Linked DNA regions of Canis lupus familiaris. Each later gene encodes a partner of the first gene's protein in a complex. Links are inferred from orthologs where the notes say so. Each region holds a gene or a part of one and is shown in the gene's direction. Other genes may lie near its edges.

The links. Proteins that work in one complex are often made in the same cells at the same time.
Region 2: the proteins of KCND3 (region 1) and KCNIP2 are in contact, whole or in part, in a cryo-EM structure (PDB 7W6S), measured with the Homo sapiens proteins. The link is inferred for Canis lupus familiaris from reciprocal best matches to the Homo sapiens genes KCND3 and KCNIP2. Residues at the interface, in NP_001365898.1 of Homo sapiens: Val5, Ala7, Trp8, Leu9, Phe11, Ala12, Arg13, Ala14, Ala15, Ala16, Ile17, Gly18, Trp19, Met20, Pro21, Val22, Ala23, Asn24, Cys25, Pro26, Met27, Pro28, Leu29, Ala30, Pro31, Asp33, Trp54, Arg60; in NP_775283.1 of Homo sapiens: Arg112, Gly113, Phe114, Asn116, Glu117, Cys118, Val123, Phe128, Ile131, Tyr132, Gln134, Phe135, Phe136, Tyr144, Leu148, Phe152, Phe165, Leu169, Ile172, Leu173, Arg180, Trp183, Ala184, Leu187, Tyr188, Met201, Met205, Ile208, Met211, His228.

Annotation. Positions count from the first base shown.
Region 1 is NC_049238.1:64,427,945-64,433,122, forward strand, and holds the end of KCND3 (potassium voltage-gated channel subfamily D member 3), read left to right. Parts: intron 1-502; coding exon 503-559; intron 560-1,706; coding exon 1,707-1,954; intron 1,955-2,352; coding exon 2,353-2,424; intron 2,425-2,665; coding exon 2,666-2,867; 3' UTR 2,868-3,436; downstream 3,437-5,178. UniProt on the Homo sapiens protein: Pore-forming (alpha) subunit of voltage-gated A-type potassium channels that mediates transmembrane potassium transport in excitable membranes, in brain and heart. In cardiomyocytes, may generate the transient outward potassium current I(To).
Region 2 is NC_049249.1:14,610,235-14,616,987, reverse strand, and holds the start of KCNIP2 (Kv channel-interacting protein 2), read left to right. Parts: upstream 1-2,506; 5' UTR 2,507-2,709; coding exon 2,710-2,782; intron 2,783-6,753. UniProt on the Homo sapiens protein: Regulatory subunit of Kv4/D (Shal)-type voltage-gated rapidly inactivating A-type potassium channels. Modulates channel density, inactivation kinetics and rate of recovery from inactivation in a calcium-dependent and isoform-specific manner.

The DNA of each region.
Region 1 (5,178 bases):
TGCCAACGGGATAGGCCTGGACCCAACTGCCCTTCCCAACTTGCATGTGCTGGGTGCAATGTGTCAACTGAAAGGATCTGGGTAAAAATGTGTGGATTTGAAGGTCTGGAACATTGGCCTTGAAGAGCTGAGATGTTGGGGATGGAGGGATGGAATGCTGGCACTGACAGGGAGGAATGCTGAACTGAGGGAGTGAATGTTGGACCGTGGGGCCAGGGAGCTGGGATTCAAGAGATGGAATGCCGGGTTTCAGGGAAGGGTTGATGGCAGAGAAGGAGAATGTTGGGATGGAAGGAGTGAATGTGGGGTCTCAACAGGGTCCTGTTGGAGCAAGGGGTGGAATGTCGGGACAAAGGAGGGAGAATGCGGAGAGCAAGGGGTAGAATGTGGGACTCTAGGTGGAATGCTGGGCTGGGGGGACTGAATGTCAGAATGGAGCTTGGGAATGCTGGAATGTACAATCAATGGTGTTTTTATCTTCTGTTGGCATGTTGTCCTGTAGGGGTTGTCCTATCTTGTGGATGATCCCCTGTTATCTGTACGAACCTCCACCATCAAGGTATAACTTTTTAAAAATTCAATTGATGTTTTCCTCTCTGATTCTCCTGAGTCTGTGGATTCTCCTCTTTTCACCCCCGGGTCTGGTTCTCTGCATGTGCTGTCAGTTCTTCTGGGGCTTTTCCTACCTCTCCTGCTGCACCCAGTAGCAGCTCAGGCTTTGGGGGCTCTGTGCTAAACTACCCAACTGCTTCTCCCAAGGGCTTGGAGAGGGCGGCGGAACAAGGTGCCCACCTTGGTGCCCCGTGAGTGTCCATGTGCCACTTCCTCAGGCCCCGCGGGGACGCCTGGTACTGGCTGCCAGGGCTGGTCGGTCTCTCTCTCTCTCTCTCTCTCTCCCTCCCCCCTCTATTTTCATGCTACTTCTCTCTGGACTTTCTTTTCACACTGGTGGCCTCAGCCAGACCATTAATGCCATAGGTTTTTAGTCACCTTGACCAAACAGCCATCTTTCCATTATTCTGGGTTCAGTACCAGGAGACCTCCGCATTCCTTCCTATGTGTACATCTGACTCGGGGACTCCTGTGCCTCTGGATATATTAAGGATCCATATCCTGTGGTCAGGTGGGAGAAAACAAACCTCAATGATCATAACCCTACAGTCTGACCCCAGCCTTCAAGCGCAGGGCTCTTTCACTTCTGTGAATAATCCAGTGCCTTTCAAAGCTTATATTTCACACTTCCCCAAGATTCATAAGGATCTCACCCCTTAAGTCCAACGTAGCACTGAAGACATAGAGTACCCTCGCCCCCAAGTCAGCCCCTCCTTACGCTGCCACCTCCCACCTCCGGGAGATCCTGTGCAAAGTCAGTCGAGTGGGCTTCTAGTTCTGAGGAAGCAGCCCTTAAATGCCTCCAGGCCCTCTGTATCAGCTCAAAGCCACAGCAGGAGCATATATCCCATCAGGATTTAATGGCTACAGTCCCCACCATTCAACCCGATGGCCAGGGCTGCCGATAGGAATCTTTTTCTTTCCGCATTTGATGCCTGTGGGACATCGCCCCTCCCGTATGCTTATCTGTGCTCCAGGCAGCTGGGTGTCCTCCTCCCAAGGCCCAGACAGACAGGCAGCCACACAGAGCACGGGGGCTCATCCCCCTCCTTGCCATACCCTTTTCCTACCCCTTCTCCTTCTGCTTCCCACAGAACCACGAGTTCATAGATGAGCAGATGTTTGAGCAGAACTGCATGGAGAGCTCGATGCAGAACTACCCATCCACAAGAAGTCCTTCGCTGTCCAGTCACCCGGGCCTCACGACCACCTGCTGCTCCCGTCGTAGCAAGAAGACCACACACCTGCCCAACTCCAACCTGCCAGCCACTCGCCTGCGCAGCATGCAAGAGCTCAGCACCATCCACATCCAGGGCAGTGAGCAGCCCTCCCTCACGACCAGGTGGGTGGCTTCTATCCCCATCGTTCCCCAAGGCTTGAGTCGTGCCAGTCCCAGAAGGGAACAGCCTCAGCCTTGGGAGAACTGCTAGCCCTCCCTCCCCACTCATGTGAGGCATGAGCCTCCTCCACCTTCCTTCCCATCCTTGCAAGTTAACCCAGAGGCCCTTCTTATGCTTGGGAGGATGCTGAAGCGGGTTTAGGCCCAAGGTAGGGTTAGAGACCAGAAACAGTAACTGGAAAAAAAAGAAAAAAAAATGAAACAAAGAAAACCTGTCCCGGTGCATAGAATGGATGTTTTCTCAGGGAAACAGTTTTCACAGTTGTGTTAGACATGACTTATCCCAGGCTGATCTTGGACCACAGACTGACCTTTTTCCTCCTTTCTCCACTTATACTTAGGCCACTTCCCACGACCTCCAATGAGTCGCAAGGAATTCAGGGAAAACAAAAGTCAAATGCCACAAATGATAGGTAAACAGTCTATGAGCAAGGTAAAAACGGATACTCTGAATTCCAAAGCTCCGTGTAACTTGCCTTTGCAATTGTTAGAATTACTAATTAGAAGGGAGAGCTCCGGGATGACTAGCAAAAGCAGAGCCAGAGGGCCGCAGGAGCTCGCCCTGGTTGCCATGAGCTAGACCTGCGGAGGTCGAGGGTGCGCTGGGACAATGGCAGGAAGAACCGTCACCAACTCACTCTTTTTTTATCCCAGTCGCTCCAGCCTTAATTTGAAAGCAGACGACGGACTGAGACCAAACTGCAAAACATCCCAGATCACTACAGCCATCATCAGCATCCCCACCCCCCCAGCTCTAACCCCAGAGGGGGAAAGTCGGCCAGCCCCCGCCAGCCCCGGCCCCAACACGAACATTCCTTCCATAGCCAGCAATGTTGTCAAGGTCTCTGCCTTGTAAACCATTGGACAGAGGGCCAGTGCAGGGAGTGAGGGTGAAGGGGGCTGGCCTGCAGGTGGGCAGCCACCGGCACCACTCCCCCACCTTCCCCACTCTCTCTGCCTGCCCTGTCACACCCCTAGCACTGACAACTTGTGCCTGGAAGGAAAAAGGAGGTGGCAAAGGGGCACCTGAGGTTCACCGCTGCTGGCGGGGACATGGACAACGGCCGGGCCCTGTGATCCTGCACCTCGCTGGGGCCAGAGGAAGGGAGGGTAGTAAGGGACGGGGTGGCAGTGGGTGATATGGAGGCAGCGTGCCAGGGCAGGGCCTGGAAGGGGGAGTTGCCTCAGACCCAAGAACAGCTGTTTTTGGAGACCCTGGTGAGGAAAATACAAGATCAAGGGCAGCACAGGGGCCGAGTTGTCACATGCAAAACAGGAAGAAAATATAACACTGTGTATTTAAGCACCTTTTTCAAGGCTCTTAATGGATAATATTTATTCATGGGAAAAGGTGGAAAACAAAACACCAACGGATTTTTGTGAAATATTTTTCTCCATGGACCCAATACCTTTGAACCAAAACAATGCATTTTGTGAAGGTTTTTTTTTTCTCCTTTTATAGAAGAAGCTTTTAAGCTAAGAAGTCAGTTATTGCTGAGTTCTCTCTCCATCCCCCAGGTGGGTGAGGTCACGTGAGCCTGGGCCCCCACTGCCCAGCTGACCTGCACAGAGCTGCCATCTGACCACATGGCAACACTTCCCTCCATCTGTCCTTTGTCTCTGTACCTCTCTGCTTCGCCCCCTGGCTGTTTTTCTCTGTGTCCTGCCATCCGTCTTCACATGGACCCCAGTGATCCTGAGACAAGTTAGTAGAGCCTCCTCCAGTTCCAGGCACCTGCAGGCTCGTGCCTGGGTGTTATATCTGTGTGAACACAGCTGTGGAGAGGAAAGAATAAAGTTTAGGGATGAGGGAAGTCCACTATGCCGAGCAGAGCGCTTCCCTTGTGGTTGGAACCAGTGGTGTTTGCAGTTTCCGTTTCTGGGGGGGAAAGGGAAGGACTAGATTTTTCACACTGGGATCTTGACACGGGAGAGGGGCCAATCCCTAGGAGGCACGGTTGGGTCTGTGTGTGCCAGTGAGGAGAGAGCGGAAGGACCGGGCTCATGGCTGCAGTTGGCCCTGGAGCACCTTGCTATGTACCCTTCTTTCGGGACTCACCACAAAACCCACCCAGAACTCTGCCAAGAGGCCCCATAAGCAGCTTCCTGCAGAAAGGGTAAGCTTCTGGCTCACCTTGCGACAGAGGTAACGCCCATCCAGAGGCTGCAGAAGATTCGGCTTGTGTGCTTCGTGAAGGACGCTCCACAGCGTGAAAGCAAGTAAGCCATTCTAGATGATTCTTACCTGATCTGAAAAGTGTTTGAGGTCTGAAGAGTCTTCAGGCCCAGTGCCCTGAAGGTTCCTGGAGTGGAGAATGAAGCCTGATCACCTCCATGCAAGGGAGGGAGTGGAATGTTCCTTCTGGAGAAGCTCGGAGGCCTGAGGCTAGTGAGGAGCCCTTCCCACGCTCCGTGGCTGTCCGCCCAGCTTGGGCTCCGGGGCACGCAAGCCCCTTACCCGGAGGCCGGCAGTCTCACCGCAGGCGCCAACCGCCACCCACACGACTGCCTGGACGCGTCTCCCTAGTCAGGAGCCTGCGAATACCTTCGGTGGGCTTCCCTGTGAGCCCGGCCGTGTCGACCTGTGGACAGGGAAGGTCAGTGGTCCTGCGGGCATCTAACCAGAAGGCGTGCAGGCGGGCAGGTGGGCAGGTGGGCAGACGACTCCGCGCCTTTGCCTCTATCTCGCGCTGTCCTCGCTGAGCACTCACTGCCTCCTTCCTCTGGGTCTGGCCTCAGGGACTCCCCCAACATGAGGATGGGTGGTCTGGTCCGTGAGCAGAGGAATATACGTGTACACAACCACACACACCCTCACACACACACTCACACCACACACACACACTCACACCACACACACACACACTCATACCCTACACACTCACCACACACACACCCTACATACCCTCACACACCCACACCCACTCACACCTACCGACACACTACACCCTCATACCCACTCACACCCCACACACCCACACCCTCACACACCACACACACACCCTCACACTCACTCACACCCTACACAGACACCACACACACATACACTCATACCCACACACCCTCTCACACACACACACACACACACACACACACACACACCAAACAACAATCTAAAAACATACCCGAGAACAGGTACTTAAATCCTTCACTTCGTACACATGCCC
Region 2 (6,753 bases), on another chromosome or scaffold:
CCCACCTTCCTAGTCACCTTCTCCTCTGGGAGCCTCTCCTGCCTCTGCTGAGCTCCCCTCCACTGCTCCGCCCCCTCACCCGGCTGTTGTTTACATCCAGCCTGCCTAAGAATTTCCTCTGGGGAGGAATCTGTTCCTGCTGTGGTCTGGTGCCTGGGAAGGGAGAGAACCTGCTGGGAGCAGGGTGCCCTCCATCTAAAAGGGGCCAGGTGAGCATCACACAGAGGCCATTCTGTCTACCCACATTCTGGCTGGAGCCACAGGCAAGTCTCCTTGCCTTTTGGAAATTGGCCCGTGGTTCCTCCTCTGGACAGCCTCTATGGGACTACTATAGGCTTTCCCTACCCCACAGCTGCCTTTAGAGTAGCTGCAGCTCTGAGATTTCCCCCCTTCTAAAGCACTTTGTAAAGCCCTCAGGTTAGCAGGGAACAAGCAGCATAGGAAGACTCGGAGTAAGTGCAGGAAACTGGCAATGAGAGCAGTTCTGGGACCTCCCTGGCTGCTATTCCACTTAGCTTCAAATCTCTTTAGTATTCTTGCCTTCCTGGGAACCAGAGTTGTGGCTCCAACATTGAACAAATACACACTGTTTCCAGAGAATCCACCAGCATGCTGCCGTGTATAGATGCAGATTCCTAAGAGATCAGGGGCTGGGTCATCTGATCACTAGATAGGGTAGCTCAGCCTGGGGCCTATAGTGTTCTCCACAGTGATAAGCCCTAGAGGAGTTGGAGCTGGAAGATGGTGGCAAGTTGAAGTTATTAAAAATTGATTTGTATGGGACAGTCTTTTTAGTGTTTTTTGTTCATTTGTTTTTCTTCATCTCTGTTATTCAGAACTCATTTCTCAAAGACAGAGTTAAAGTAATCTCCAGGTACTGGTCCCATCTGCCTAGGGCACCCTTGCCTGTCTCCCTCTCCTCCTAAGTCTCCTGGCCCTAGTGGAAGCCAGTTAGCTTCAAAGAGGTGTAGCTTCCCTTGCCTTTGCTACTTATAGATTCCTTTCCTATGAAATGAACAAGGGCATGAAGCAGTAGCAAGACTCCTTGCCCTCCATTGTAAAAGCACATCTTTTGGCCCATTTACCTATATGTTTTAAGAACTCCAGATGGGAGTCCCATCATCATCTAGAATTCAACCCCCAAAGGAGGTGCCCATGCTCTGTCCATGCCCCCAAGGTCGTGCCAGTTTGTGGAGAAACTTCCAGAGCCGGGGGGAGAGCTAGGGCATTGCTCCCAAAGATAATCCTTGTACTTGCTTGTCCCCCTCCTATGCCTGAATTCCTATCACAATTCCTGCTGAGTTAATTGAATCAAGTGTTTGGGAATTAAATCCAATTGAAGACATTAAATGTGCTGGGGTCACTTTAGCTGAAGGTTTCAGTCTTAGCAGGTTACTCCTCCAGAGGAGCCATTGGGCAGGCAGGAAGACCACATAGGATACTGCCACCATACTACTCAGGCCCTCCAAACACTCTCTCCTTCCTTGGGTTGGGGGCTCTTTTGCTAGCAGTCCAGTAAAGAGTCTGGGGAAGGTTATACAAGTGGCTCAGTCACTCAGAAGCCATTCTTAGGAGAGCAGGTGGCAGCCCAGCTCTGTGATAGTCCCTGGTTTCAGAAAAGGAGCTAAACTAAGGGAAGGGAGGTGGGCCTCAAACAAGGGCATTTCTTACTCTGTATCCTCACCTGGATTCCCCACACCAGTCACTCCTCAAATCTTCTAGAAAACAGAAGGAATGTAGGACAGGGCAAGTGATAAGAGAGAAGGGCAGGAAACTTGAAAGGGAAAAAGAAAGGGAACAAAAGAACAAAGTCCTGAGAAACTGACCTGGCTCACTCTTCCTTTTCTTCCAGTGGGCCAATGGGGCTCCTGAGATCAGGGAAGAAGATACCCTCATTGTGAATATGGCTCAGGGACAGCTCTTGCAGGCTGAGGGTTGAGGTCTTTCTGAGAGAAGAGAGAACTGTGGTCCACTGGCCTAAGATGAGCCTCTTAGAGGCTGGGCTGACCTTTGCTCTGAAAACAGACTCTCAGATGCTCTGCATCCCTAACTCCCTCCTAGCAGGGTGGGCACTGGTGAGAGTGCACGGAGACCCGGAGACCCGTATGGGGGAAGAGAACAACAGAGAAGATGGGGGCTGATGTGAGACTGGACAGGTAGCTCAGAGACTTACCCTGGCCAGTGCTGATGGTGGGGGAAGGAGTGCCTAAGAGTTGGGACGGGGAAGGTCCTCACAGTGGGTCCTTTCTGGTCCTGCTCCCTCCTCCACCGCCAGAACCCGTGGCTTCAGGTTTGGGGGTAGTGTTGCTGGAAAACCAGTCTCCCTCCCCGCACTTCCCAGCTCACCCTTTCACCGGGTTCCTCCCCCGAGCTGCAAAGAGGAGGGGGCGGGGGTAGGGGGAGCCAATCCCGGCAGCGTCAAAGGGGGGAGGCGGCGGTGACAGCCGCGGGGAGGGGGCGGGAGGAGAGAGGCGGCTTGGCTCTGGCTCCGTGCTTAGCTCCGCTCTGCCTCCGGCTCTGCGTTCACCTACTGCCCAAGCTTCCTGCTCCTGCCCCAGGACCCCCAGCGGGACCCCTGTCCATCCCAGACTCAGCCCCAGCCCAGACAGCGAGCAACGCCACCAGGGGGCGCCGTGTGAGCGCCCTATCTTGGCCACCCGGCGCCCCCTCCCACGGCCCAGGCGGGACGGGACGGGGGCGCCGGGGGCCATGCGGGGCCAGGGCCGCAAGGAGAGTTTATCCGATTCCCGAGACCTGGACGGATCTTATGACCAGCTCACAGGTGAGTCAGGGGCTCAAGGGTCGTGGGAGGGAATGTAGATTCCATCCCCCAGACCCTTAAGCCTTTCTGACCCTGGCCAGGCCCTTACTCACACTCTGTCCCATTCCTAAGCACCCTCCAGGCTGTTCTGGGCAGCAAGACACTGGGGTCCAAAGCCTTTGGAACCGTGGGGGGTGGGGGGACAGGCAGGCAGGTGGGGAGAGGCAGCAGGTGTGGGCGTGTGACACAAAGCTAGGAGAGTGTCTGGAGTGGGAGGTGTTACGTGCGTGAGCGCCTGTCATTCTTTGTGTGTGTGTCTGTGTGTATATGTGTGTGCGCCTCCCTCAGCTGGTTGCCATGTGCCCTAGGCTTGGTATATTGATAGGGTAAGTGTGATTTTGTTGGCTGTGCAATTGTATGATCTTGTCAGATGTTTGAATAAGGTTGTGTAGGACTCTGTTGTACTAATGAAGTTGTTTTGACCATGTCTCTGTTCAATGTGCAACTCTGTGCTTTGTGCTTTTCTGTATGAAGTGACATGTGACTATCAGAATGTGTCAGGGCTTCACCTTATGGTGGTATGTCTCTTTGTAAGACTTTATGACTGTGACCCTCCTGGGGCAAGCATTGTGTTTTGTGATTGTGAGAATATGCAGATTATATCAGCATTCCATGCTGATTGTGTAGGAGGCAATGTCTTCTGTGGGCTTTTGTGAGTGTCTTGACATGTCTTACCCTTGCTGCCTCTCTGGTTTCCTGGTGTAGAAGGGGGCCTTTACCACACATTTACTGCTTCCCCACATTTTCCACAAACAGCCCAGGTGGACCCAAGGAGGGACACCAGTGTCTGCCCAGCCTGGCTCCCAGGAACAACGCCTGGCCCTTGTGGGGAGTTTTTGGTTAGTGTTGGGTCATCATCTCCCACCCCCAAGAAAGTACTCAGAGATCATTCTTTCAACTGAAGCTCCTTTAGCCCTCAACAACCCTCCCAGAACTTTATCCAATCATGAAGGAAAATATCCCCTCTTCCCCTCCAGACCCAGAAATAGAAGCACTTGGCCTGGAAGGTGCCTTGTGGCCTCCCCAAACCACTTTGCTGCCCAGGCAGGCTCTGTCTCCCACAGTGTGGAGTAACCTGGGCCTGCATATATTTCTGGGTTTAGTAGGCAGACCCATGTGTTTGTGTAGGTGACTGTGTTACCTTGTATACATTTCCATGTGCGTATGTGTTTTCTGTCTCATTGTACAGCCTGCCCGGGAACTTCCAACAATGGATGGGAGGAGGGAGACTGTCTCCTGTGTCTGAAACAAGTTGGGAAGGTGGAGGGAGCCCATGATCCTTGTCTGTCCTTAGGGGAGTGAGGTTAAGTCTCCAGGATGAGGATGACAACTAGGATCTAATGCCTTTAGAGTGTCTCCCATACTCATTGACCCTAGGGAAGCCCTAGTTCCTATGCTGAGACTCCTAGAAGGGAGAGCCTTTTGGCTCAAGCAGGCCCTAGGTGTGCCCTAGATGTGGCTCAGACTCGGATGGACTCCAACGTCCAGCTCTGCTTTGAACTGTGTTCTCACCAACTCAGGATGCTTGAGAGTAGTAAGGCCCCAGGGCGTTCATTAACACCACATTAGTCAGTGTTTGTTTCCTGTTTTAATTGATTCTCCCCTTTAGTGGAATCCTCCCCTCCCCAGTTGGCTATTTGAATCAGAGACTAGGTGAAGGTGGGGAAGCACTTGTATTCCTGGGGAGCAGGAATGGGCTATTACTTTTGCTATCTGGGTCTCACTTTTCTCACCTCTAAAATGGAGAACACTACTTCTTGCTGTCTGCCTCCCAAAGGAAATAGGTCAAATGTTGACAAGTGTCAAGAATGATGCTCATCATCAACATCCTCCTGTAGATAGCTCCACTCACGACTTGGAAAGTAGAAATAGTGTTACCAGGAGCTCTCCTTTCGATTGAGGGCTTATCTTACAACAGGAGACAGATGAGGTTGGGACTCCCCCTGATAAAGTGCTGGGTGCCCTGAGACGCTTGAGCTAAAGCCTGAAGGGGAGTCGTTGTCCGAGGTGCTGAAGAGCGCTCCAGGACAGAGGTACTGCCAGGAGGTCCTAGTTCCCAAAGTGTCTTCCCTGTGCAGGCCCGATTCCTGGGATGGACATGGGGGTAGTCTTTGGTTTCCGTCATTTTGGTCCATCAGGCTGATAGGGAGTCCTTAACTTATCAGGGCATCCGGAGTACCCCAATTACTTACCTCCCCCACTCCCCCAGACCCAAAGCTGGAGATTTTTTTTTTTTTTTTTTTTTTGGTGGGGAGTGGGGAGAATCTGAAACTCCACTCCGCCCCAGATCTACTCCCTCTGGTCTTCCAAGCCTGGCAGGGCTGCTTGGAAGTGTGGCGTGGTGAGTAAAAGCAGCAATCAGTGGCAGTCCTGTCCAACCTGGAAGCAAAGCAAGGACTAGGGATGACGAGTAGAGAGTTGGGATCTGGCAGGCCAAGGCCTGAACTCGGGTCCCTCCGGTCAGATATATCATTTCCCCAGTCTAGGGCGCCCCCGTGTGGTCGTAGGGCAGCCATGCTTACAGAGCTGATTCCAAATGGGGATGTCGCCGCCAAATCAAGTGGCAAAATTTGCATGGAGATTGGAGGTAATGCTTGCCTCGTGAATGTAGAATTTTCTGCCAAAAATACAGGATCCTCCAGTAGGAGGAGTGGAACTATGTCTCTCATGTAGGCTGTCCCAGCAGTTTGAAGGCGTCAGTGGGTCCTGGAAGGGTTTATTTTGGGTACAGCCCTATAGAAAGGAGTCCTGCAAAGGGTTGGGACTGAGACTGAGGCGAGGAGAGCTTCTTCATGCATTTGGCAGGCAGCCAGCATACAATGGGAGAATCTGTGAACCCACTGGAGCAAGATAGAGGGACACAAAGCAGAAAGTTATGAGAGAAAGGAATTCAGAGCAGCCTCTTCTTTGCCACCCCACTACGATGCCCAGTTCCTCCTCCTTCCTCTTGCTCTCCCATTGGTCTAGAAGTATGGAAGTGTGGGAAGTTGCCATGACAACTGTGTCCTGCTTATCCCCTTCACTTCTCCGTGCCAAATTGGGAGGAGGAGGTGTGCGACAGGCAGAGAAGGCAGGGCTGAAGAGGGGCAATAAAGAATAAGGTTCATTATCCCCTCCCCCAGCTCCTTTTTCAAAACCCGTGGGTGCCTACCCTCCCCACTAGAAATCCAGAAAACATTCCCAGAGAAGGCTGTGAGGAGAGTCCGTCCCTTCCCTCCCCCACCCCCGTGCCCCGCCTAGCCCAGTCTAGGAACTGGGTGAGGATAGGTGCTTTAGACGATGGGGGCCGCGGTGCGTTCCCCTGTGCGGCCCGGCGAGTGGAAGAAAACCCTGCGGTCAGAGATTCTGGTCCCGCAGGTCCGGCCCGCCTGCTCCGCCCACTCGAGTGGGGGCGGAGACACGACCGCCCTGGGGCCTTGGGGGCGGAGCTTGGCCAGTGAGCTCTCAGCAGAATCATGAACCGATGCCCCCGCAGGTGCCGGAGCCCGTTGGGGCAGGCAGCGAGATCCCTCTACCAGCTGGTGACTGGGTCGCTGTCGCCAGGTATGAGGAAGGGAGGAAGGGGCTGGACCCTTCGAAAAGTGAGTGAAGTGGGATAAGAGCCTTACAGAGGTGGGGAGGGGAAGGGCCCCTCACAGAGATGGAGGGAGCAGGATCCCTCAAAGGAGAGGGTTTAAAGGGCAAGATCCCTGACAGAGTAGAGCTCGGGATAAGGTCACGTACCTTACCGAGAAGGTAGAGGATAGGAGTCTCCAAAGAGGAAAGGATAGGGATTGGGGACATCATGGTCCTTCAAATGGTGGAGGGTGTGAGGCAGGACTTCTCACAGAGGATAAAGGAGGGGGACTTAAGCAGGTGGATATAAGGGGCAAGGCCCCTTGCAGGGATAAATGGAGGAAACTTGCAGCAGAACAGGGAAAAGACACAAGAAC